3 linked regions of the Caenorhabditis elegans genome follow. The protein of the gene in region 1 purifies or fractionates together with the protein of each later gene. This does not show direct contact. Each region holds a gene or a part of one and is shown on either strand. Other genes may lie near its edges. The genes, in order: asah-1, Y102A11A.3 and Y62H9A.3.

Region 1 (6,777 bases):
AAAACTGGCAATTTCCGCCAGAAAATTGAATTGAATAATTTGAAAATTGAATTGAAATAAAAAAAATTTGTGTAAAAATACTGGAAAATCAGTTTAAATTCATTTTTCTAGTAGAAAATTCCACAAAACCACCAATCGCTACGAGACTCAGAAGAAATATTTAGGCATGCGCCTTTAAATCTACCGTATCCCATTTTTAATAAAATTGTGACGAAATTTGAATTTCAGGAGGAAAACTTGGTTAGAAACGAAAAAACGACGAAAAACCATAAAATTAGCAAACAATTATTTTTTAAATGTAAAATTCCACAAAAAGCAATAACTTTGGTAACCTCGATAAGTTTCGGTGCATGCGCCTTTAAATCTACCGTAACTCATTATTTTTTTCCAGCGGGAAAATTAAAATTTTTAATTTTTGTTTAAAAAAAACCAAAAAACTCTAAAATTTTTAAATTTTATGAAAATTTCGTTTTCAAACAAGAACCCATCAAAGTTTATTTACAAAAATGAAAGTTTATTTCAATGAATCATTGCGTATATGAGAATGTTGAATCCAATCTACCATGGATAGCATTCTCCCGGGCAGGATTGAAGGATGGTCTCGAAGCGAGAAGTCTCGACGGACATGAGGACGGTGTAGGTGGTGAGCTTATTCAGGTTGGTGCGGGATGACAAGACGTTGAAGATTCCCTCGAATCCGACGTTCTTCTGGGTCAACTTGTCCATGCAACGGAATCCCGGAGTGTCACGGTCGTCAAGGTAGAGGTCCTGGAAGAGGGAAATGTTGGATAAGTTAATTCCGGATAGGTTTTGACAGATTTTTGATCAAAATTTCTAGCTAGGAGTTCGACCCACTCAAAAAAAGAAGCTGGGTTCAAAATACTAGACCTAGGCCTAGAGAAGGACCTCTCCTAAAAGTTGGGCCCCTAGATCCGTCTACCAGAACCTACTCTACACCTTCAACTCTAGCATCTCTCACCTCGGTTCCCTGATCGTAGTTGGTCTCCAACAGGTACCATCCGTGTGGGGATGTGGCCATCTCGGTGAGAAGTGCGGTCTTGTCGAGACTTCTAGCGATGATGCATCCCTCGTCCTTCTTGGATCCTCCGAGAATGAAGTAGACTGGTGAGAGCATTGGAGTGTTCATCAAGTGCTCCTTGGCGTCGAGGTAGGCTGAAAGCTCGGGATATAGAGCCTTTATGGATCTCAGACGGATCTAGCCCAATGGATATTAGAAGCAAAGATTAGGGACACTTGAATCTAAGCCTAAGCTTCCTGGAAATCAAAGCTTCCGAATTCTAAGGATCTAAGTCATCAAGAAAACAATTCAACTCACTGGTCTTAGTCTCGAGGGTCTCTCTTGCCAACCAGGACATCCATTTTCCGTCGGCCTCCAATCCGAACACCCACTTGAGAATACCGTAGTATCCTCCGACAAGCTGGAATCGATCGTCAGCAGTCAAGGAGAAGGCGTTTGGCTTGAGACCGTTGTAGATTCCAATGTATCCGGCAAAGTTGTTCGACTTGTACAACAGCTTTCCGTCCTTGAGCCAGTTGACGTTGATGATCATCTTACGAAGCTTTTGCGAGATTTGCCAGTCGTGAAGAACTGGGTCCCATCCCATGAAGAGTCCGAAATCGAGGTTTCTGGCGTGGAAAACGTGGCCGTCCTTGTCCTGAGCGATGACCGATGTGCAAACGGTGAAGATCTCGTAGAAGATGTTATACATGGTGATCTGTCCCAATGGGATACCGGTGGCATTGGCAATACTGAAGATCTCGTCACGATATGGCTGAGCGAGCTTTGGCGCCAAATCACCGAACACGTCATCAACAAAGTCGATGGCATTTGGGAACCATGGAGTGATCAGATTGATCAGCACACCGATCAGGTCGGCGATGTGTTCCTTGTTGGCTGTAGCGATCTGCACCCAACGCTCCGATGGTGGGAGATCAAGGTTCACATCGTACCTGAAAATATTTTTTGTTTGTGGAAGTGTGTATTTGGAATTTCGCTTCAATCAGCAATCAAAGTATGGTGTGACCTCTGCACAAAAACTGATAAGGTTTATGGAATTCCTCGAGGAGAAGATTGATGTTTTATTTATGATTGATTGTGTCAGGGGGTAACTACACTAAATTATCAACTGATTGTAGAACACAGGAATCTACATTTTTAAACGATTTGCTAGTTTCTTGAAAATTTCGCAAAAAATTTTTTTTTTTGGAAGCCGAGAAGTCAAAAGTTAAAAAAAAGGGACTCTGAGTCTAAAATGAGTTTAAAAAACTTCCTATAAAATATATTTTTCACAAAGTATAGGTAATATCTGTGCCGGAAAAGTTAAATTACCGACATTTTGGCGTCTTCTTGTAGTTTAAAAGTTTCAAAAAAGTAAGATAGGTCCTAAACTAGAATGTTTGAAGCTCTAAAAGTGTTCGAACCATGCAATAATCAGTAAAGCTCGGATTAAGCACATTTTCATAACGTAGAATGCCTGAAAAATGCTCTTTTGAGTATCAGAAGCACAATATCGGCGAAACTCAGAAATTCAGACTGCCAACAAAGTTCTCAGAATATCTATTAGTTCTTAGGCGAATTCTAAAAAAGCTTAGGCAATGAAATCGAGAATTTCTTTAGAACAGCAGTGTATTTAGAATTTGGCACCTAAAAAAATGACCAAGGAACACCACTGGCTTCAAACTATGAAAATCTGACATTTTGGAAGTTTTATGCGCAAAAAGTTCAACAAATGGGGCAAACTATAGATAGTTAAGGTAGCTACCATCCAGCCAAAAACTCACCACTTGATATCAAATTGCTTGCTTGGATCATAGAGATTCTGCTTATCATCCAAGATGCAGTGATCCTTAAACGGAGCCGGAAGCTCCACATGCTTTGCGGCGCACACAGCCACCAGCAACAAAACCGACAATTCTCGGAGCATCTTTCTTGACTAGCTCTGAATAGTGGCAAAGCGTGTGCTCCGCGAGGCGACTTATCAATACTTTTTGCGGAAAACACGTGGCCACACTTTACTCCTTATCACTTTTTAATTTATTTCCCTCATGAAAATGTCATCAATCACACCGGTTTTTGGTTTATGGAGCATAATTTACAAGCGTTTTCAGAGAAGAATTCATTAAAAGTTATAGTCTAGTCTAGGTGAAATTCGTTGATCGGTGGAGTGGGGTTCGTGCCCAGCACAAAGGGGGCGTGGCCTGTTTTGATGACAATCTGCGTATTATGCTCTGTGCATGCAACGTCCAAAATGTTCTCCTCGCCGAATTTCTCTTCCTCTGGGTCGATGAGTACCGGGTAGACTTCAGTGGAGCCCTAAGGAGTCACGATTCATCTTTGAACTTTCAGCAAAAAGTTTACCTTATCTTTTCCGAGTTGTCCATACCGATTCCATCCCCATGTGTATGCATCACCGCCTTCTGTCAGTGCTACCGTATGCCAACCGCCACAAGCCACCTTTTTAATGCGAATTCCCACGAGTTGCTCGATATGGACGGGCTCGTCGACTCGGCGGATCAGACCAACTCCAAGCTCCCCGCGACTGGAAATTTGGAAATTTATGTAAATATTTTCCAGTCTAGGCCTGTGAAAACTCACGTTCCGGTACCCATAGAGAAGAGGTTGCCGGTTGTATCCCGGAAGATCAGAAAGTCGTGACCAGCAGCAGCTTCCACAATTCTCACAGGCCATGGAAATTGGATCTTATTTGCTAAATTGTTCTTTTTCGGTGAAATTCCGACAGAATCAACCAGGATCTTCACAATTTCCGAACTTGTTCCAGATCTTTCGACAGCGTATATCTCACGGGATGTAGCTACCAGCAAAACATCTAAATCAGTATGCAGGTCCAGGAATGTCAGGTTTCCCTCAAAGTCGTCAAGTCTTCTCACAGCCAACTTTTCGTGCTTCATGAGAATCGCCATGTGGAGATGGGTACACGCCACGTGTTTAACTTCATCGGGTAGCTGGATGGTTTCAGATGCTAATGACGTCATCGGGGCATCGAAGATCAGTGTGATCTTGCAGGAATCCACAGAGATCGAGCCAAACCAGGTGGGAATCTGGAATAATCAATTTAGCAATTTTAAATTTTTTGCAAAAAACAATGATAGACACTTCTACAGTACTTTCTTCATTAACTACAGTGCGTTTTTTTCCATTTCTACGACTTTAAAAGGGGCGCATTTACGCGCGATGGTCCCGGCATTGATCTCGCCACGCACCCCAAAAATCAATGGGTGGCGCGTGTCGAACCATCGCGCGTAAATGCGCCCCCTTTAAAGTCGTAGAAACTGAAAAAAAATGCGCTGTATGTTTCCACCTTGTGTCAGAGTGCCCATTACTGTGTGATCTACAATAAATGCGGGAATTTCGATGCGGACCTCTCAACAAATTTCGTATTGTTAAGAGCGTCCCGCATTTATTGTAGATCAAATAGGCATGGGACACTCTGGCACCAAGCTCGGACCTGCTGTGAAACGCCTGTAGTTTGGAATACAGCGTGGCTACGTGCCTGTAGTCTTAGTTTTTTGAGTTACTTGCCAGTTCCACTAATATTGCTTGTGGCAGACCAAACGCGAATCACCTGTCACCAGATCTGGATCAGGACCTTTACAGGGCCGTTGGTGGCCAACCTTCAATAATTCTTGTTTTTATAAGAACCCGTACACCATTTTATTGTTAGGAGCATGTGTTTAGACTAAATTGTCGAAAAATGAAAGGTAGGCCCCAAAAATTTTATGACCAAAAAACTCAGATCTAGGTGAAACATCACAAACTACTAGGGATCAGGTAGAAGTTTTTCAGCGATACACGTGGCACTTCCTTCGCTGAACTCCCTTCATTACACTCCTCGCGGAAACAATAGCCCCCCACCTTTGAAAGTGAAACATCATAGACCGATGACGTCATCATTGTGGCTTCTTCCTCTTCATCATTTCGTCACCTCACTCGATTATTATTCTCTCTTTTCGTTAAAGTGTCCAATTGTTATTCATTGAAAAGTACAGTACTCCTTCTCCCCCGAACCTTTAAGAAGACATATGACCGGATGTTGACAACAATGTGTGGAACAAGTCCTTCTAGGTGAAAAATGCAGAAAGTGCAGCACACGCAGAGTAAAGATTATTGGGGATAATTGGTAATTGAGTCGGACTTTTGGAATTAGATGAATTGTAGCTTGAGAATTTCCAAGATGATTCAGGTTTTTCTAGGAAACGTCATTGTGGTCTGGTGACGTCCCCGAAGCATGAATTCGTCTGATTCAGCTGATTCACAAATTGTCTCAACAATGACGTTATCAATTTCCAATCGAATCATGATGTAGTGCAAACAATTACGAAAAGTTTGTAGGAGGACACAATAAATCCACATGTATTGGAGGAAAACGACCCTTGAACTTTCTTTTTCACAGTTATTTTGAAAAACAACTGTGAACGTCGTCCGGGCAGCAAGTGTTTTTGATGAATCTATCATTTTTAGAATTCTCAAAAAATAAAATTGCAAAAGCCATTTCCAGCAACATTCTTCGAATTCCTCCAACTTCCTGTCCTACATTTTTGTTTCCTTCCGCTTTTCCCATGAGAAGCTGTGTCTCCGCGGAACATATCAGCTGACGACAGCTGTTGTGTAAGGAAATAGTTTTCTGTTGAAGAATGAATTCAGGCGACGTCAAGCAATAAGAGAACAAACATCGGAAGAGAAGGAAACGTCTATAAAAGTCATCGGGTCAAATAGTTCAGTGGATGTTCGGCTGCATTTCTACTTGATATAGCTAGCTTTTTGTGCGTTTTCAGACAATTATCTTGTATTAAAGTCCAAATTGGCCTGAAAGTACCAAAAAGGCTTGGTTTTGTTCTGCTAGCTGTTTTGGGACTATTTTAAGTTTCTTGGTCTTTGGCGGTAACTTCTGAACCAAGTTTGGTCTAAAAAACTTGTTTGATCTATAATTTGACAAATCATGGCCCGAACCTTGGTTTGGCTTTGTTTAGGCAGCGCGCAAGTTTGGTCCAAGTTTAGTCCTATTTTTGCCAATTTCTTATACAAGCTTCAGTTAAAGATTGGTTCCGGCTTACTAGCTTGGGCGCGACCTAAACACAGTCTTTCCCAAGTCTCGCAAAAGTTAGGGTCAAGTTTGCCATATATTCAACCAAATCGGCTTTAATTCTGGCAAAATAACGTTCACTTTTTGAAATTTTATTTTGAAGACTGAACTTTCTTTCTTTTTTCCGGCCTTTCTCAAACTGGATCATAAAATCTGCACTTTGTAACTTCAAATGAGAGATAGTTATCAAAATAGGTTACTTAATCCACGTGATAAGCTTCTAGACCGATTGCAATGACGTGTTGGTCTTTTATTCCGATCAGTTGTTTTTGTATTTATCGTAATGTAGATTATGCAAATCAATTCCCTGTTTAGTGAGTATAAATATGACCACTCCATGGGGAGAAAATGGCTTTCTGCAGTTTTGTGAAAAGTCACGTGGCTTATACCATAAATCAGTTGCAATGCGAACCCGGCGATCTTCTGATACCATCCTCCATCTTCCGCGCCAGTTCTTTGAAAATCTCTTTTCTTCTTCAATTCGGTTGGATTCGAAAATATCTCTTTCCCCGAATTCGTCGCGGACAGCTGGTCTCTTGTCAACGATAGATGGACTATCACACGCGTTCACAGATCAGCAAGGATTTGTGATTGGAATGGAGGCCGTGAACGTCTAGAGGTTGTAGTCTGGCTTCTAGTGACTGTTATCATAATC
Region 2 (10,149 bases), on another chromosome or scaffold:
CCAAAATGTGCTCAAGCCAACAAATTTTGTGATGAAACTTCTCAAAGTTTTTGTTAACATTTATTTTAATAGTGGTTCGAAAAATCGAAAATTGGTCTCACATCATTATTGAATATGTAACCAATTTTGGTAATTTTTGGCACCGGCTCACGTGGTGTCAGGCTGTCTCATTGCTCCACCGCACACAAAATGGTGGTAAAATATTTTTAATTTTTGTGACGACACAGCGAATTTCAAGTCGATTTTTGGGAAACTTTCCATTTTTTCCAACTAATTTTTGTGTTAATTTGTGAAGTGGTTATTTTAAAAAAATCGAAAAGTTTAGCAATCAGTCATGGATTTCACGTTTAAAATTATTCGAGATGCACTGTGACGTCACAAAAATTCGAATATATTTTCCAGCTCTTTTGTGTGCGGTGGAGCGATAGGACAGACTGTCACCATTCGCTGCCTTCAAATGTTCATTAACTAACGAAATAACGTGAGATAAACGACGGAAATATGTATGCGAAAATGGATGAGAACTCAAAAAAAAATCTTTGATTCGCTGCGATACAAAAAAACTGAAAGATAAAAAAGATTTGATATTTTTTCAAAACTTTGAAGCGCCTGAAAAAACTTTAACCAATTGTTTTAATTTTAAGTTTTAATTTGAAATTCGTTCATTTGAGCACATGTTGAGTGTATACGTTCAAAATATTCCAGAACTACTCCTCCATTACCAAAATTTTCAGAATGAACAATGAGAAACTGCAAGAACATTTGGGTGATTTGGAGCAACGTGTTGGACATTTAAAAATTCAGCCGGACTATGAGAGCCTTCCACCATTAAAGTGAACATTTTGATATTGTTTGTTTTTGTTCAAAGGTGAAGTAGAGTCGTTTTGAAATTTTGCTTTAAATCAGAGAAAATAGACCATAATTTTTTATTTTATTTTGGCGGAAACCGGCAGAATTAAATTTGAATTCCCGCGTATTTTTGAGTTTTTTTTTTCTTTTTTTTCTTTCGCATTTTTTCGTTAAGAAGACTAAAAAGACAAAAACCCATAAAATATCGTTTAGAAGAATTAAACAATTAAAAAAATATTTAACAGTTACATTAGGTTATTAGTGTTTATTTTCTGTCATTTAAAGCAAAATTCCAAAACGACTCTACTGCACTTTTAATGACACACGTCGTTTCAGTATACCTCGACTCGACATGACCGATATTGACAATGACGAGAACGGCACGTTGCACGAGTTTTCTGAAAGAAGTGTTTTATCGAATCTTTCTGAATTCGATCATGTACACCTTGCTGGTGCATTAGCAGAAATTGCTGGTGCTCATTGTGAGCGATTGCGTATGATCACTCAATCATAACAGACTACTTTTATTACTTCCCACTCTTTCCTGTCAATCTATCTATTAGTATACAACCTGTCTGATTTTTTTCCCCTGATGTGATAATTTTGAACACTGGTCAGCCCTTTTTCTATTTTCTTCCAATTAATTTGATTCTGCTGTGCAATCCCAATTGAGTGTGAAAATCTTTGTGTTGAAAACTGTACAATTTAGTTTATACTACATATTCGAAAATTAAATCCTTCTGAAACTTCTAAATAAATTTTTTTAAAATTTTTTAAATAAAGTTTTTTATTGTTTTAACATGTTACCTGGCAAAATTTAACCTCTATAAGTGGAGTGTCGCCACCACTGGGGAAACTGTTCAAAACTGCTTCTATTGTGCTGAAATTATCAAAGTCCACCGTAACAACTTTTCAAAAAAATTGTGCACTATTTCCTTACATATTAAATTGCGAAGAAAACTACAAAAAAAGTGACGACCCGGAACTTATTCCTCCCTAATATTTTTTACGATTCCTGCCAAGTGAGCGCATTTTTGGCATTACACGGTGTTTTACATTTTGTTCTCCATCTGTCAATCTACTCGATGCTCCTTTTTTCACAGTTCTGATGAAATGTATACATTCCAAACCACTTTTATCATCAAGTCATACATCACTGGAAAAAGGCATAGAGCAGCAGTTGTAACTGCTGATAATGCAAGTTTTTCATTGGTATCGGCGAGCATTACATTTCGTTTTTTTTCTGTTTCTTGAGCACTCGACTGCAAATTAACATTATTTGCTTTGTTTTTGTGGAATACTAATTTAATATGATTCGATTGTAGTAGCTGTACTTCAATTTTATTTTGTAGTTTATCAAAAATAAAACGTGAATTTTTTATTTTAGGCTTAAAAGAGGAGTATCGGTTTTAGATATAATAAACGAATAAGCCCAAAATGGGTTCAAATGAACAAATTTCGAATAAAATTAAACTTCTTTAAAACATTTCAAAATTATTTATGGCGGTCCAACATTTCGAAAACAATTGGTTAATTTTAGGTCACATCATTTCGTTATTTATAAATGTTTATAAATGTTTTGTTTATAAATTATTTATAAATGCAAAAAGAATAATAGTTCAATTTTTTGCGAAGTTTTATCACGAAATTTGTTAATTTGAGCACATACTCATCCTTGTAGAAAAACTTTTTATAAACTTAATAATAAAATAGGAATAGTTATTCACATTATGGAATTTCATTTATTGCGAACATTTTGAGATACTTATTAAACTATATCTATAGACCAAATCAAATTCTATCGAATTTAAAAATACAAAAAAAATCAGATCACATTTATTCTAATTTTCCAGATGATAACTTGAATGTTGAGCACATGAATTCTGACTGTGACCAACACATCAAGGTATATTTATATTTTTTCTAATACTTTAAATTTATACAATGTATACACATTTCAGAGTAGAGTTAGATATCATCAATCCGAATTTTGTACGAAACTAAACTATGTGTATACTTCTCGCCAGTGTGACGAATATTTCAACTATTTGGCTGAATTGAGAAGAATTATTTTTGGTGACAAACAATATTCGGAAAAAATGAAACCAAGTAAGTTGGAAAATAAAACCAGAAATGTAATGAAAATTGTTTCAGAAAACAATTGTGACCCAATTAGACACTCAATTCATTATCGCACACGGGACGGCAAAACTCTGGTTTATGAGTTGGGAAATACGTCAGACTACGGCATTAATCTTTTTGCAATACCGTCTGAAACAAAAACGGTTGCAACAAAAACGTATTATGCAGAAGAACACGTACTCACTCAGCCGGAGACTTGTCGAGTGTTACCTCTCACTCACTGCTTTCATCTTGTAAAACGTTCGTCAATTCAATTTTTTGAGCATTTTTTAAAATAATTGTTTCTAGAGCCATCGGACAACGTGAGCCCATCAAAATTACGCAATAAGATGTGTGATGCTCATCTGGGAAGCTCAAAAACATTTTCCACAAGTGAGTTAAAATATACATTGCTGGTGATAAAGATATGCACAAAAGCTCTTGCAAGAATGTGCTGTGAAGTTGCATGCCTTTATGACCAGCACTAATTGTAAAACAATTTTGTAAACCAAAATAAAAACATTCAAAAAACAACTAAATACTCAAATTTTCTAGATCAAGAATGTCTACAGTTGTCTCAACCTCCAGATGATCAAAACAACTTCCACATTATCGACCAACATTTGTGTTTTGCCTGTGTCGACGACTTTTCAGAAGAGCATGTTGGATTTGAAGACGCTGAAAGTCTGAGTGACGTGGTAGATGAAGATTTTGCAGTAATGGAAGAATTCGCGAGCGTTTTGGAGGAGACGGGATCGGTTTTTGAAGAGTTGGGTGATGATGATTCAATTGAAGACAATTGTTCCATATCCGATGATAAAGTGAACAGGATTGTGGGAATTGTGAAGAGACAAATTGAATTTTCAAAAGACAGACACAGTAGATCTGAAGAAAGAAATGTTTGTCATCTCCAGGATCAAACAATTTCTGAACAACCACATTTTCATTCAGCTGTGCTTGAAAAATCAGATGAAAACATTTCCTGGGTGCAGCTGCCCACATTTCAACTTCCATCACTATTTTCAAAACAGCCTATTCTCCCACCAAATGTGAAAATGGAATCGGAAAAACAAGAAGACGAGGCTAATTTTGATTATTCTTTACAATCAGTACCAGAACCGTCCAGTGCTTATCTTCCTCATGAAACTGATCAAAATCAAAGTAGTACTTCTTTCCCGCAACAAGAATCTGACAATGAAGATTCTGAGACAAGTTCTCCTGACACACCTGAAAACGGCAGTGTACTTGTGAATATGATTCAAGATTACGTTCAAATGGTAATGTCCGTGTCTCGAGAATTTCAACAGTCACACAGAGAAGAAGCCTCACAAGGTAATAAATGTCTTGCACGTGGTGTCAGATTGCCTCTTTTCGGCCTGATCTATGTAGATCTACAAAAAAATGCGGGAGAACAGACGCAGATTGCTCAACTGACGTCACATTTTTCGGGCAAAAAATACTCCCGCAATTTTTTGTAGATCAGCCCGTAATGGAAGACTCTGACACCACATGGTCTGGCTTATAACCATTTTTTATAATATGAGCGGTGCAATAAGTCCTGGGTCAAAATTCATAAATGTTTGGTAATTTGTTTTTTAAAGCGAAAACTTCCGAGCTCGTCAGTCTGGATCTACAGTTGCTGACATATGCTTCGAAAGCTGACCAGATAGAAGAAGGTTTGAAAAACAATTTTTTGAAATAAAATAATATAAGTTCTAGATCCTCGACTGATGCTGAGAAGATTGGCTCCACGAAAAACGTCAGTTGATAAATGGAAAAGTTCTACTTTGTTGAATGAAACTGTTAAACCCTCGGCTACTGAAAAAGAGAAAGTTTTTGAAAAATTGTCAGCAAATGGTGAAGACTACAGTAGAGAGAAAGCCGCCGATCAAGAGTCTACTGGAAATCATTTTTTTCGTACATTAACGTCTGAGCTTGAAATCAACCAACCGGGAATACCAAAAACTCCAGATGTTAGTTGTTTCTTTTCAGAAGACAGTGTTTGTTCTGAGTATGCTCCAAATCTCCAAGAAGAAAATCTTCCACCGGTTTTACTCAATTCGAATACGCAACCAGAAACCGATTTTGAATTTCAAGTAGACACATCAACTTCTGAAATTTTATCAGACCAATCAAATATGAACATCACATTTGAACCGATCGAAGACATCGCTGAAGATCGGCCAAAATTGAATGGAGAGGAAATTGTTCAAGTTCAGATCATGGAAAGCACTTCTAGATCCACTGCACCTTCAAACATTAATCTTTCTGAAAACTCTGACGTCACACCGTTTACTAGCAACTGGAAGGAAATAACATGTGATGTTGATTGTGAGGATACGTCACAGAAAGAGCATTGTGCACATTCAAACGCTATCACTCCCGAAACAGTTTTTGATATTTCACCAGAATTGGGAAAGAGCAAACAACATTGCATCGATAAACAAGCTGAATATAGCGGAAAACTTGTTCACTTGAAAAACCATATTGAAGTTGCTTCTGTTTTGGAGAGCATCCTGGTCGAAGTATCCAACAATACTGATTCTAATGCAACATTGAACTCTGCAACTTCTCAAGAAATCTTCGACGTGGTTGAACTTCTGCAAGTACCAATTGAGATTACTGTAGATGTGTTGCCGGAAATAGAAGACCAAAGCGATACTGAAACGTTCACACCTGAAGAAGCCACACCATCCGTATCTGTATTCGATGAAGTTCAGTGTTCCCTTTCTATCAGTATGGATACTACTCTAAAGACGGTCAATTCAAAGGTTTTAATCAACACGGAATTTTTACAAGAGAACTCGTTAACCATCAATGTCATTGATAGTTGTTATCACGAAAACATCCAAAACCATGTGCTCAGCTCAATAAATAACAATTTGGAAATTGTTGAAATTTCAAACAACATTTTGAGCAAAGCATCAAGTTACTCAGAACTCGTTGTTGATGATATTGTTATCACTGTTGTCCCAGATATGCTTTGTCATGTTACCTTTCAGGCTCTTCCACCAATTATCTCTAGGAAAGTCGATGAAAATCGAATTGGAGACGAAAATGTTCTTCTGAATAATTTAAATAATGTTACAATGAGAAGTGGGAGAAGCCAAACTCAACACTCAAAAATTTTTATCAATAAGGACGTCCACCATTTTTTGCAAGATCAAATCAACTTTCTGGAACGACAAGAACAAACAAATGATGCAGAGGACAGTATATCGGTTACATCCAGCTTTTCCACTTCAAATACGAACGATAACGATTTGCAATCTTGTGTTCCGCTGAGTATAGAAGAAACCTGGGACATTGAAGTTGGGCTGAACCACTTTTTGAATTGGCTACACGGTTTGTCCGAAAACTCAAGTGATGCTGGGCCGACTGAAGATTTTCCACAAAACACAATCAGTCTTGACTTTAACATAGAACATGAATTAATAGCATCAGAATTGCCGGAAAGAAAAGAGGCCACTGGAGATTCTGAGGGTGACAACAAGAAAGCGACAAAAACGTTTGAAAATAGTAAATCTTTAGCAAAGTGTGGTATGTCCAATTCAATGGATGTTCTCGAACCACGAAGTTTCAAGGAAAAAATTCAAGACCGGCGCTCTCAAACGTGTGAGCATTCTTCCGAAAATCAAGGTCTAGAAGAAGTCAAGTTAGAAAGATCAGAGCAAGATCCCAATTCAATGGCGTGCCTGCTAGAAATCAGCACAGCAGATAATTTCGAAAATGCGGAAAATCAGTTAGAATATGATCAACAATTGGTAGTTTTCAATCTGGACAACATACAAGAAGCCTGCGGACAAACGAACAACATAGGCAGCACTGAAACGAGTTCAAAATCAACTGAGCAATCCGAGGACATTGACAAACTCGATCATCATTTCGAGGATGCATGTGAGAGAAAGTATTGCGAAACTGATACAATGCTCAAGGAAAATCCAGACAGTACGAGGTACGCGGTATAATTATTGGGGAAAAAACTATGCTACAATATATTGTAAATTTAATCATGCGAAAAAAACCACAAAGCGGTTTTTACTAAGTTGCCGTGAAATGAGAAAACTCAGCCACCCTCATAACTCACGGTAGAATCAAAGGACACCCTTTCCAAGACTATTCTCGTTAAGTTTCAAAAATATGTACCGTAAAAAATCATAGATAAATAATTGCCCGAGTTTTTGATTTTTCTAGGCTACGGGGTATTTCCAGTATTTCCATATTCCTCAAAAAAAGATATTTTCAGAAAAATGGCAAAAAATCTCAATGAAAACGAAAGTGGTATAAACATTATAAAAGATTCCAACTCGGAATACAAAAGTGAAATTGCTGAAATGGATCTATTCTATGCCAACTTCGAAGTTCCGTTGCCTGATTCAAGTTGCATCAAAATTTCGGAAATGCAAAATAATCTCGCCTCATTGGTTGATCATCTTTTGTCTGATCAAATTCAAGCTGCTGTCCAAGAAGCTTCCAAGCTGATCTGTCACAGAATGATACCCCTCGCCAGAAATCAGTCTTGTAAAATCATTGAGGATACATTTTATACCGAGTATATTGCTGATAAAACAGCATCAGCAGTCACGGAAAAAGAAAACGTCGAAGATTGTACCGATACTTCATTTTGCGATCAATCAAGGTAGTTTTTGATATAACTGTGGTATGATTAAGATATGAAAAATTAAGGAATGTTGAGAGATGTTGCACTACGCTAGATACCGACAAAGCTGTGGTTAAACAATTTTTGAATAGAATGATGCATGATCTAGTCTCCGATGCAGTTCTCGAAGCGTGTCTGGTACCCGCACATTTTCCCGATTCAATTGAAACAGCAGTATGTGAGCATTTCGATTCTTTCCCAGATATCCCAAAGTTATTCTTGTCGCCAAAACTGGAGGATTTGAGCCAATCAACTTCACACAAACCAATATCTGAACTTCAGTCCAGTTCCTCAGAAAACAGGTAATTTTACTTTGATCTTGAAAATCTGAATAAAATTTTTTTTCAGAGTTTCTTTGAATGAAGTTTTCGAAGAAAAGATGTGTGACGTGTTAAGAGAAAATACACATTTGGGTAGCTTGTAGCGTTTTAAAAGGTTTCCTATTATACTTCTTTCAGAAACTAATGCAGATCGCGAGCCGTTTAGAAATAATTTATCAAGATCCAATTTGGAAACTTGTCAAAACATTATTGATTTGACACCCGAATCCAGCGATTCTAGCATTTGTGCAGAAGTATTCGTTCCGACAAACTCAACACCACCTTCGGAGACTTCCCCTACCGACATTAGTTTGAACTCTTCGGAACAGCAGAACACTTCTTCGGTACGTAAGTTCCAAAGCCATGAGACAGTAGGGGCCAAAATTCTATTCGTTTTTGGTTTTAAGGTTTTTTCTTCTTTTGTTCAAATTCTATAAGAGCTGAAATTTGAGGCTTATGTTCAATTTTTGTACAACTTTTCCCGGTCACCGTGTAAACTGTATGTAGATTACCAGTTAAGTGATTCGGACGTAATCACAAATATATGTAGTCCAAGTAATTAGCACCATTTTGTTAGCAAACGTATTTTGCGAACTATTATAGTAGTTACACATATTTTAACAGCTCAAGCAAAACCGATAGCGAAGAGATTATTCGATGGTCGGCAATGTACTATGTATATTAATTTAATGATTTTATAGGTATTAGAAGAAGTCTCATATTTCTTCACAACCGCGTGTGTTGCTGCACTTGCATTCATGTCCCCGGCAGAAAAGTATAGTCTTTTTTTCAAATATTTTTTATTAATTTAATAATTTCAGCGATTCATTATTAAATTCGGAAATCATTGAAAATGCATCAAAATATATATCCAACTCTCCGGAAGCAAATGAAAAATGAGACAATTAAAAACCCTAGATATTCATTGATTTTTTGATAAATAAAATTTCCCATTCTATTTTTGGAATAAACATTTAAACTTCTCACTTTTGTTTGATTTTTCAGTGGTGTATTTTCCAAGCGTCTGTAAATGTGAATCACCTATTTTATTATCAATTTACCACCCACATCTCAATGAAGTGTTTAAACAGTGCCTAAACTGTCTTCCCAAGTTTCGAACCTTATCAATTTTCTCTTTCTGAGTCTCGCAAATTTTCATTTCACCCAGTACTTTAAGGCGATCGCTTACATTTTGTGTGGCACCGATCTGTTATCAGTTTTTATGTGTGCCTGTGTGCGTGTGTGTTGTGCATGAAGAGTCGTTTATGACTTTTCTAACCAACTTGATTTAGTCTTCAATCGCTCTTCTCACTATTTTTACAGGAATACTGTTTATTTATGTATAAGGAATAATTTTAATTTTATTATCATTTTTATTAGAAATAATTTTAAATAAACTCTCATCTCAACTTTCGTAATTTCCATCTCGAATTTTTTTCGTGAATTTTTCCACTACTTTAGAGGCCTGTACGGTTTTATTGAAATAGTGTTTTTGCAAACTTTCAATGTTTTTCAAAATATTTAAGGGTAGGTAAACATTTTAGGAAAGTTTTCGAAAATTTCTTTGCTCCATACTGGCGAGAAATCATCCAAAAACGGTATTTATGGGTTTCGTTCCCCTCAAAATGCTTCAATTTTCTTAATTTCAATTAACCACAAAAACGTGAATTTTTTGGAACGATTTATAGAAATGAATGTTTTGTTCCGACACTTTTGTTCACGTTTTTAATTTGAAAAGTCGAAAATTGAATTTCAGAAACGACAAAAACCACAAAAACGTGAACTTTTTGGAACAATTTGGAGAAATGAATGGTTTTATTTGTTAAAATGAATGCTTTGTTTTCTACTTTTGTTCACGTGTTTTAATTTGAAAGGGGGTTATTGAAATTTGGAAAATTAAAACATTTGGGGGGGGGGGGAACGAAACCCATAAGTACCCCAAAGAGTTTTCATAATTTTTACCTGCCCTTGAAAAGTTTCAGCATCTGGTGCAATTCTAGAGGCCTCGAAATTAGTGAAAAAATGTACTGAAAAATGTTTAGATCAAAATTGAAGGCTCAACATTTTGCAGTGACCACCCTTCAGTATATATTTTTCAAATGACACATGTCTCGTTTTGAAATGTAACGGTAAAATGAAAACATTTTTTTAGACAAAAAACCTTGCATCTCTGTTGTTCTCATTGTTAAAATTTTGCTT
Region 3 (5,153 bases), on another chromosome or scaffold:
TTTTAAAGATTTCCGTAAGCTGAAAGACTTGCACAAAACCAATGTCGTTGATGCCAGAATCAGGTAGATCACTAAACATATGCAGTTCATTAAATAACTATTGCAGATACTACAAGCATAGAGGAGATTATTATGCAGAAATTAGCTGCCCACGACAATCAGACAACAAGAAATACACATGGATCCTTGCCGACTCTGATGAAAAAATTCCATCATTTGGTATTGATGGAACTGTTGCTCTTGCCGCCGGACTCAATGTGAGATATGTTGCTAAATACTCTCGCCACGGAAAATGGTCCGGCCGCGATATGACAAACAGTGACAAGCAAAAGTTCCGTCGTGTTGGATGTCATCATGGTACTTTTGAAACATCATTGACTGTTTAATTGAGTTTTTATACTATTTTATCATTAAAAATAAATGAATTCTTCAACGAGAGCCTGTGTAGAATGAATGTGAGATAATTTCACCGAAAAGAGTTTGATTGAAAAATCAACACCAAAGACAGCTAAGTTAAGCAAAATAAACAATTCAACATATTTGTCTTTTCCAGCTTTTTTTGTATTGTTAGGAAAATGTGTTCGAGTAGTGGGCGGCAAAGAAAATTTTAAATGACCGAAACTGAAAATTCCCAGAAAATTGACAAATTGACGATAAAACCGCAACTGCCATACATTTTAGGCAGTTTGTTGATTCATAATTTTTTATTATAAGTTTCTAAATTTCTCATTTAAACTAAAAACTTAAGCGCGTCCTACAAATTTTTCTATAAACTAGGGCTCCCATGCGGTCGCCGCGACGGCCTCACGGCGTCACCCACGCCGCATTTATAGTGAGGCGCGGACCTCCGAACGTGTCGACCGCTTGCAAACAACCACCTCTTCGCACTATGTTGCACACACACCAAGCTACTCATTTCACGCAATTTGTTGGCTTTTTGATATTTGCCAACAAATCTTTTATATGTAGTACAACGGTACCTCAATTATGAGAGGAGTCCAGTCAACAGAAATATCATAACTTGGTTCCATGGAAAAACTGCGGAAAACTAACATTTGCAAATTTGATGAGTTCACTTCCTCGTGAAAAAAACAATAGGACTTTTAGAGTGCATTCAGTAAATTGTTCTAAAGGAGCGGATGAAAAAAAAAACTGTCTTACATTCAATAAAGTACAAGTAAAACCCTTTTTAATCTAACGAATGCGAAAAGAATTATCGCACTACTTTTCTTCCATATTTGGATGATCATAGAATGAATTTCATTGTCTCATTGAAATTTAGTTAAAGTATTTTCTTTACATAATTATCCAAATTTGAACTTTTTTTTTGTTTCACATTCTGTAACAAATTTGACTTTAAACTTTATCAACCAAAAACTCGTAAAACATTTAAATAAACAGAATCATTAAAATCCTGTCAATGGTCTTGGTCCGGGAAGTTCAACGCATGTGACTTTTCGGATTGCTACTTCTCTGTCGTTGAATGATTTTCCAACAAAACTGAAATTTAGACTTTGAATATAAAAACAACAAGTTGACTTAATACGGCTCACTTTTTGTCGTCGCATTTCGCAACGTAGTCGAAATTATATCCCGATGCAAGGAGAATAGTGTCTTGAATGACGAATTCTGTCTCAAACTTGAAAGATGCGTCTGTTCCTTCCTTTTTTGCTACAAGGGCATATGGTTTTCCACTGTTTGGACAGGCGATAATGTTGTAGGTCTTCCCCTTACGCTCTACTGTTCTGTAAAAAAACAACTTTTTGAACCATTGGAAAATAATTTATAGTCAAAATGAAACAGAACAAAATTAGCCCGTGATATAATTAATTATACAAACTTTGCGAAAACTTTAGTTTTGCTCTCACATCACGAAACAATTGAACGAAAAAGTAAATGCAATATGTATATTTTTTCTATAACGAGTATTGAGAACGAAATATGTGAATGTTTCTATTTTGTCGGGTTTTATGTTTAAAACGTCTTATTTTCTCTAAAACTTTTTCCAACGTTGATCAGTTAGTTTCATTTTGCAAAAATATTCGAAAAAAAGCTAACTTATGGTATTTTTTGTGATAACTCACTTGATGTCAGCACGAGCGGTTCTGTGCTTATGAACAGAAAAGTGTTTGATTTCCTTGCATTGTTCATACTCATTTTGTTCATATACATTGTTTGGTGGTCTATACTCGTTTCCATTGGTACCGTAGTTCGTTGCAGGTGGTTGTGGCGCATATACACCTGGATATTCTGGGTAACGCTCATCTGAGTTCGATCTTGATTTTAATTCATTCTCAGAAGAATCCGATGAGTCAGAAGTAGAGTATCGATTGTTTGAATGATGTCCAGGATAGTGAGAAATTGTACCATAATCATTGTATTGGTTCGCAGATACGACGACCGCACATGCGATCACAGATAAAAAGAGAGCATACATAGTGAACAATTTCGCTGAATTGTGCGTCACCTCTACTTGATTTTATAGACGATTTTGTTGAATCGTCGACAAAGTTTAATCTGGAATATGGATCACATCACATCATACGTTTTCTAAACATATGATTCATGCGAAATCTAGACCAAATATAAAACGGTCCTCAACAGAGGAGAGCCATACATCGGTGCTCTGCCAAGATGAAATATTTTGTTTCGCTTGTATTACTTGCTGCTGTGGCTTCTGCAGAATACCAGATTGTGACATACTATTGCAATTTAAAGTATATTTATATTAATGATTACAGAACGAGAAGTCCTACTCAGGTGAAGTTGAAGTTGAAGACTACCCAAGACCAACAAAGAAACCAACGTACTCGGTGCCGGATCTAGGACCACTTCCACCAGCATCATACCCAGTTCCAAATTTCCCTAATAGTTGGCCGCTTCCGCCAGCTTCACGACTAGTTCCAATTCCACAAGAATATCCAGCTCCGTTCCCCCCAGGACCATATCCTGACTCAGAAAATGGGGGATCGTATCCACCACGCAACTATGGTGAGTTCTCAACTGTATTCTCATTTTAAAAGTTTAAACAATCAGAAGTCAAAAAATTGAAAGATCTTCGTGGTGAAAAAATTGTTGAAGCCCGTGTTAGGTGAGCAAATCCAAGTTGCAAGAAGAATTATACATTCAAATTTAGATACTACACATATGATAACACCCATTACGCCGTCATTTCATGCCCCAGAAATCCAACTCCAGGAGCATACACATGGATTTTGGTGGACTCGAAGAAAGAAATTCTACCATTTAATGTTCCTGGAACAGTAGCGTTGACAGGAGGTATCAACGTTGACTACTTAGCCAAATATGGAACTAAAGGCAAATGGGAAGGAAAAGATTTGACCAATGATAAGAAACACAGGTTCCGTCGAGTTGGATGCCTTCACGGAAATACTATGTCGTACATTCAACATTAAACTTTATCAGTTTAAACAATACATTATGAAGAAAAATAAATGTTAATTTGAGCTTTCAAAGAAAACCAATTAGTTTTGAACACAAACGGAAAAGTTAATGAAACGCTAATCGTTTCTCAAATACCCGGCGTTTAATTTTTGAAACTACTTAAAAGTACATTCCTAAGCCAAACAATAAAAGCGCATCTGTTTATACTTATAATGGAGTTGCTTTTCAAAAACAGACAGACTCTTTTCACTAAGATTCTTTTAACTTCAAGGCGCTTATTGATATTATGATCAACTAAAGGAATCAAATAATTTCATCAATTCCGTTCCGTCAGAAAACAAATAAGAAAGTTTCAGGAAATTCACCCAGATTTTTCAATAATATACGGTATTCTCCATGTGTCAATTTTATATTACATTTACAGAAAAATGGAACAATCTCCTAAAAACAATCATTTTTCACATTAAATATAGGGAGCCGGGAGGACAGAGCTATAAATTCTCAAGATGGAAATATTCATTTTCTATATACTATTTTCCACCGTTTCCCCACTCAATTTTCAATTTCTGTTGATATAATCTCCCAGTAAAAAAAACGAAAATTTTCATTTTTGAATTTCTAGCTTCATGAATAATTTATTTCAACAATCTCATTTTCAACAATGGGCTTCATTTTCTGTTTTCAATTATTAGTTGTCATAATGTTTATTTGTTTGCAAATTTGCTTTCAGTTAAACCAACCCTTCCGATTATGAAAGTGTCCCGTTGTAACTAATCTCATCCTTCAAAATAGATGTCTTTCCGGTAGTATCGGTTTTCTACTAACATAAGTTCATAAAAAATACAATTTATTTTGTTTCCTGGGTGTGAGTAATCCCCCGCTGGCTTCAGTAGATGTTGGCAACGGTTTTTCAACAAAACTACCTAGTTGATCAATTGATTGAAAACAAGGAACCGTAAGAATATTTTCAGGCGATCATGAATAATCTTCCTGCACTCCTTGAAAACTCATCAGTCCCTCGGCTTACTCAGGGCCAACAAAAGAGTGATAATAAACCTTCACTGATGGAAGATACACGAATGAGTGTCTCAAAAATAGTTAATAAGAATTCTGATTTCAAAAACAATTTTTCGTACGATAAGAGGGAAGCCAAAAAATGGACAGCGTTGCGAGCAGAGTGTGAATTGACTATTGAGAGAGTAAAGTCTCTTGATCATATTTTATGCAGAGGAAGTTCCAAAACGGACCTTGTTTATGCTCTAAAACGTGAGTTTATAAATGAAGAATATATTTCTGACTGATATTAAAATTGTCAAATCTATTTTGAAACTAATTCGCATTTTTTAGAATCTGCTCAAATCTACACTCGCCGTGAAGAAATGTTTGAAATTGTTGATTCTTCACCACCCAGTATCGACAAACGTCGGACTCTTGCTCTGTTATGTGAAATTCGAAATTTGGATGAAGATAGCATTATAGGAAAAACAATGTCAGCTCTTGATATGGCAAACGGTGGTTATCACAAAACGAAAATCCTCGAAAATATGTTAGAAGAGAAGGAAAAAGAACTAAAGACAAGAGAGACGGATGCTCATGACTTACAGAAGTCATTTCAATTTTCTTTCACTGAAATGGCAGAGACAAGTGCAAACTCTGAGTGTGGAGTAAGTTTTAAAAAGTTTTGAAACTTTAAACTGATTAATTACAGACAAAAGTCACTAAGTGTGCGGTCGCAAATTCATATACAA

The links.
Region 2: the proteins of asah-1 (region 1) and Y102A11A.3 fractionate together in Caenorhabditis elegans (co-fractionation; one large-scale study listed by BioGRID). This does not show direct contact.
Region 3: the proteins of asah-1 (region 1) and Y62H9A.3 fractionate together in Caenorhabditis elegans (co-fractionation; one large-scale study listed by BioGRID). This does not show direct contact.

What each region holds. Positions count from the first base shown.
Region 1 is NC_003279.8:12,501,293-12,508,069, reverse strand, and holds asah-1 (Acid ceramidase subunit beta), read right to left. Parts: upstream 2,957-6,777; 5' UTR 2,946-2,956; coding exon 2,803-2,945; intron 1,972-2,802; coding exon 1,337-1,971; intron 1,174-1,336; coding exon 980-1,173; intron 769-979; coding exon 559-768; 3' UTR 501-558; downstream 1-500. Other genes in the region: K11D2.1 (RCC1 domain-containing protein 1), read right to left, coding at 3,155-3,334, 3,380-3,560, 3,617-4,080.
Region 2 is NC_003284.9:2,016,446-2,026,594, forward strand, and holds Y102A11A.3 (Protein unc-13 homolog A), read left to right. Parts: upstream 1-2,702; 5' UTR 2,703-2,725; coding exon 2,726-2,755; intron 2,756-2,810; coding exon 2,811-2,958; intron 2,959-3,003; coding exon 3,004-3,231; intron 3,232-3,279; coding exon 3,280-3,363; intron 3,364-3,525; coding exon 3,526-4,302; intron 4,303-4,571; coding exon 4,572-4,646; intron 4,647-4,689; coding exon 4,690-6,925; intron 6,926-7,216; coding exon 7,217-7,609; intron 7,610-7,656; coding exon 7,657-7,932; intron 7,933-7,978; coding exon 7,979-8,043; intron 8,044-8,088; coding exon 8,089-8,294; intron 8,295-8,651; coding exon 8,652-8,725; intron 8,726-8,771; coding exon 8,772-8,850; 3' UTR 8,851-8,931; downstream 8,932-10,149. Other genes in the region: Y102A11A.9 (Lebercilin domain-containing protein), read left to right, coding at 735-833, 1,186-1,363.
Region 3 is NC_003284.9:11,877,426-11,882,578, reverse strand, and holds Y62H9A.3 (putative secreted effector protein), read left to right. Parts: upstream 1-2,607; 5' UTR 2,608-2,634; coding exon 2,635-2,694; intron 2,695-2,741; coding exon 2,742-2,991; intron 2,992-3,036; coding exon 3,037-3,091; intron 3,092-3,136; coding exon 3,137-3,416; 3' UTR 3,417-3,469; downstream 3,470-5,153. Other genes in the region: stha-3 (Conserved secreted protein), read left to right, coding at 9-63, 107-386; Y62H9A.4 (DUF4362 domain-containing protein), read right to left, coding at 1,407-1,500, 1,554-1,745, 2,085-2,437; Y62H9A.2 (uncharacterized protein), read left to right, coding at 4,383-4,671, 4,753-5,069, 5,114-5,153.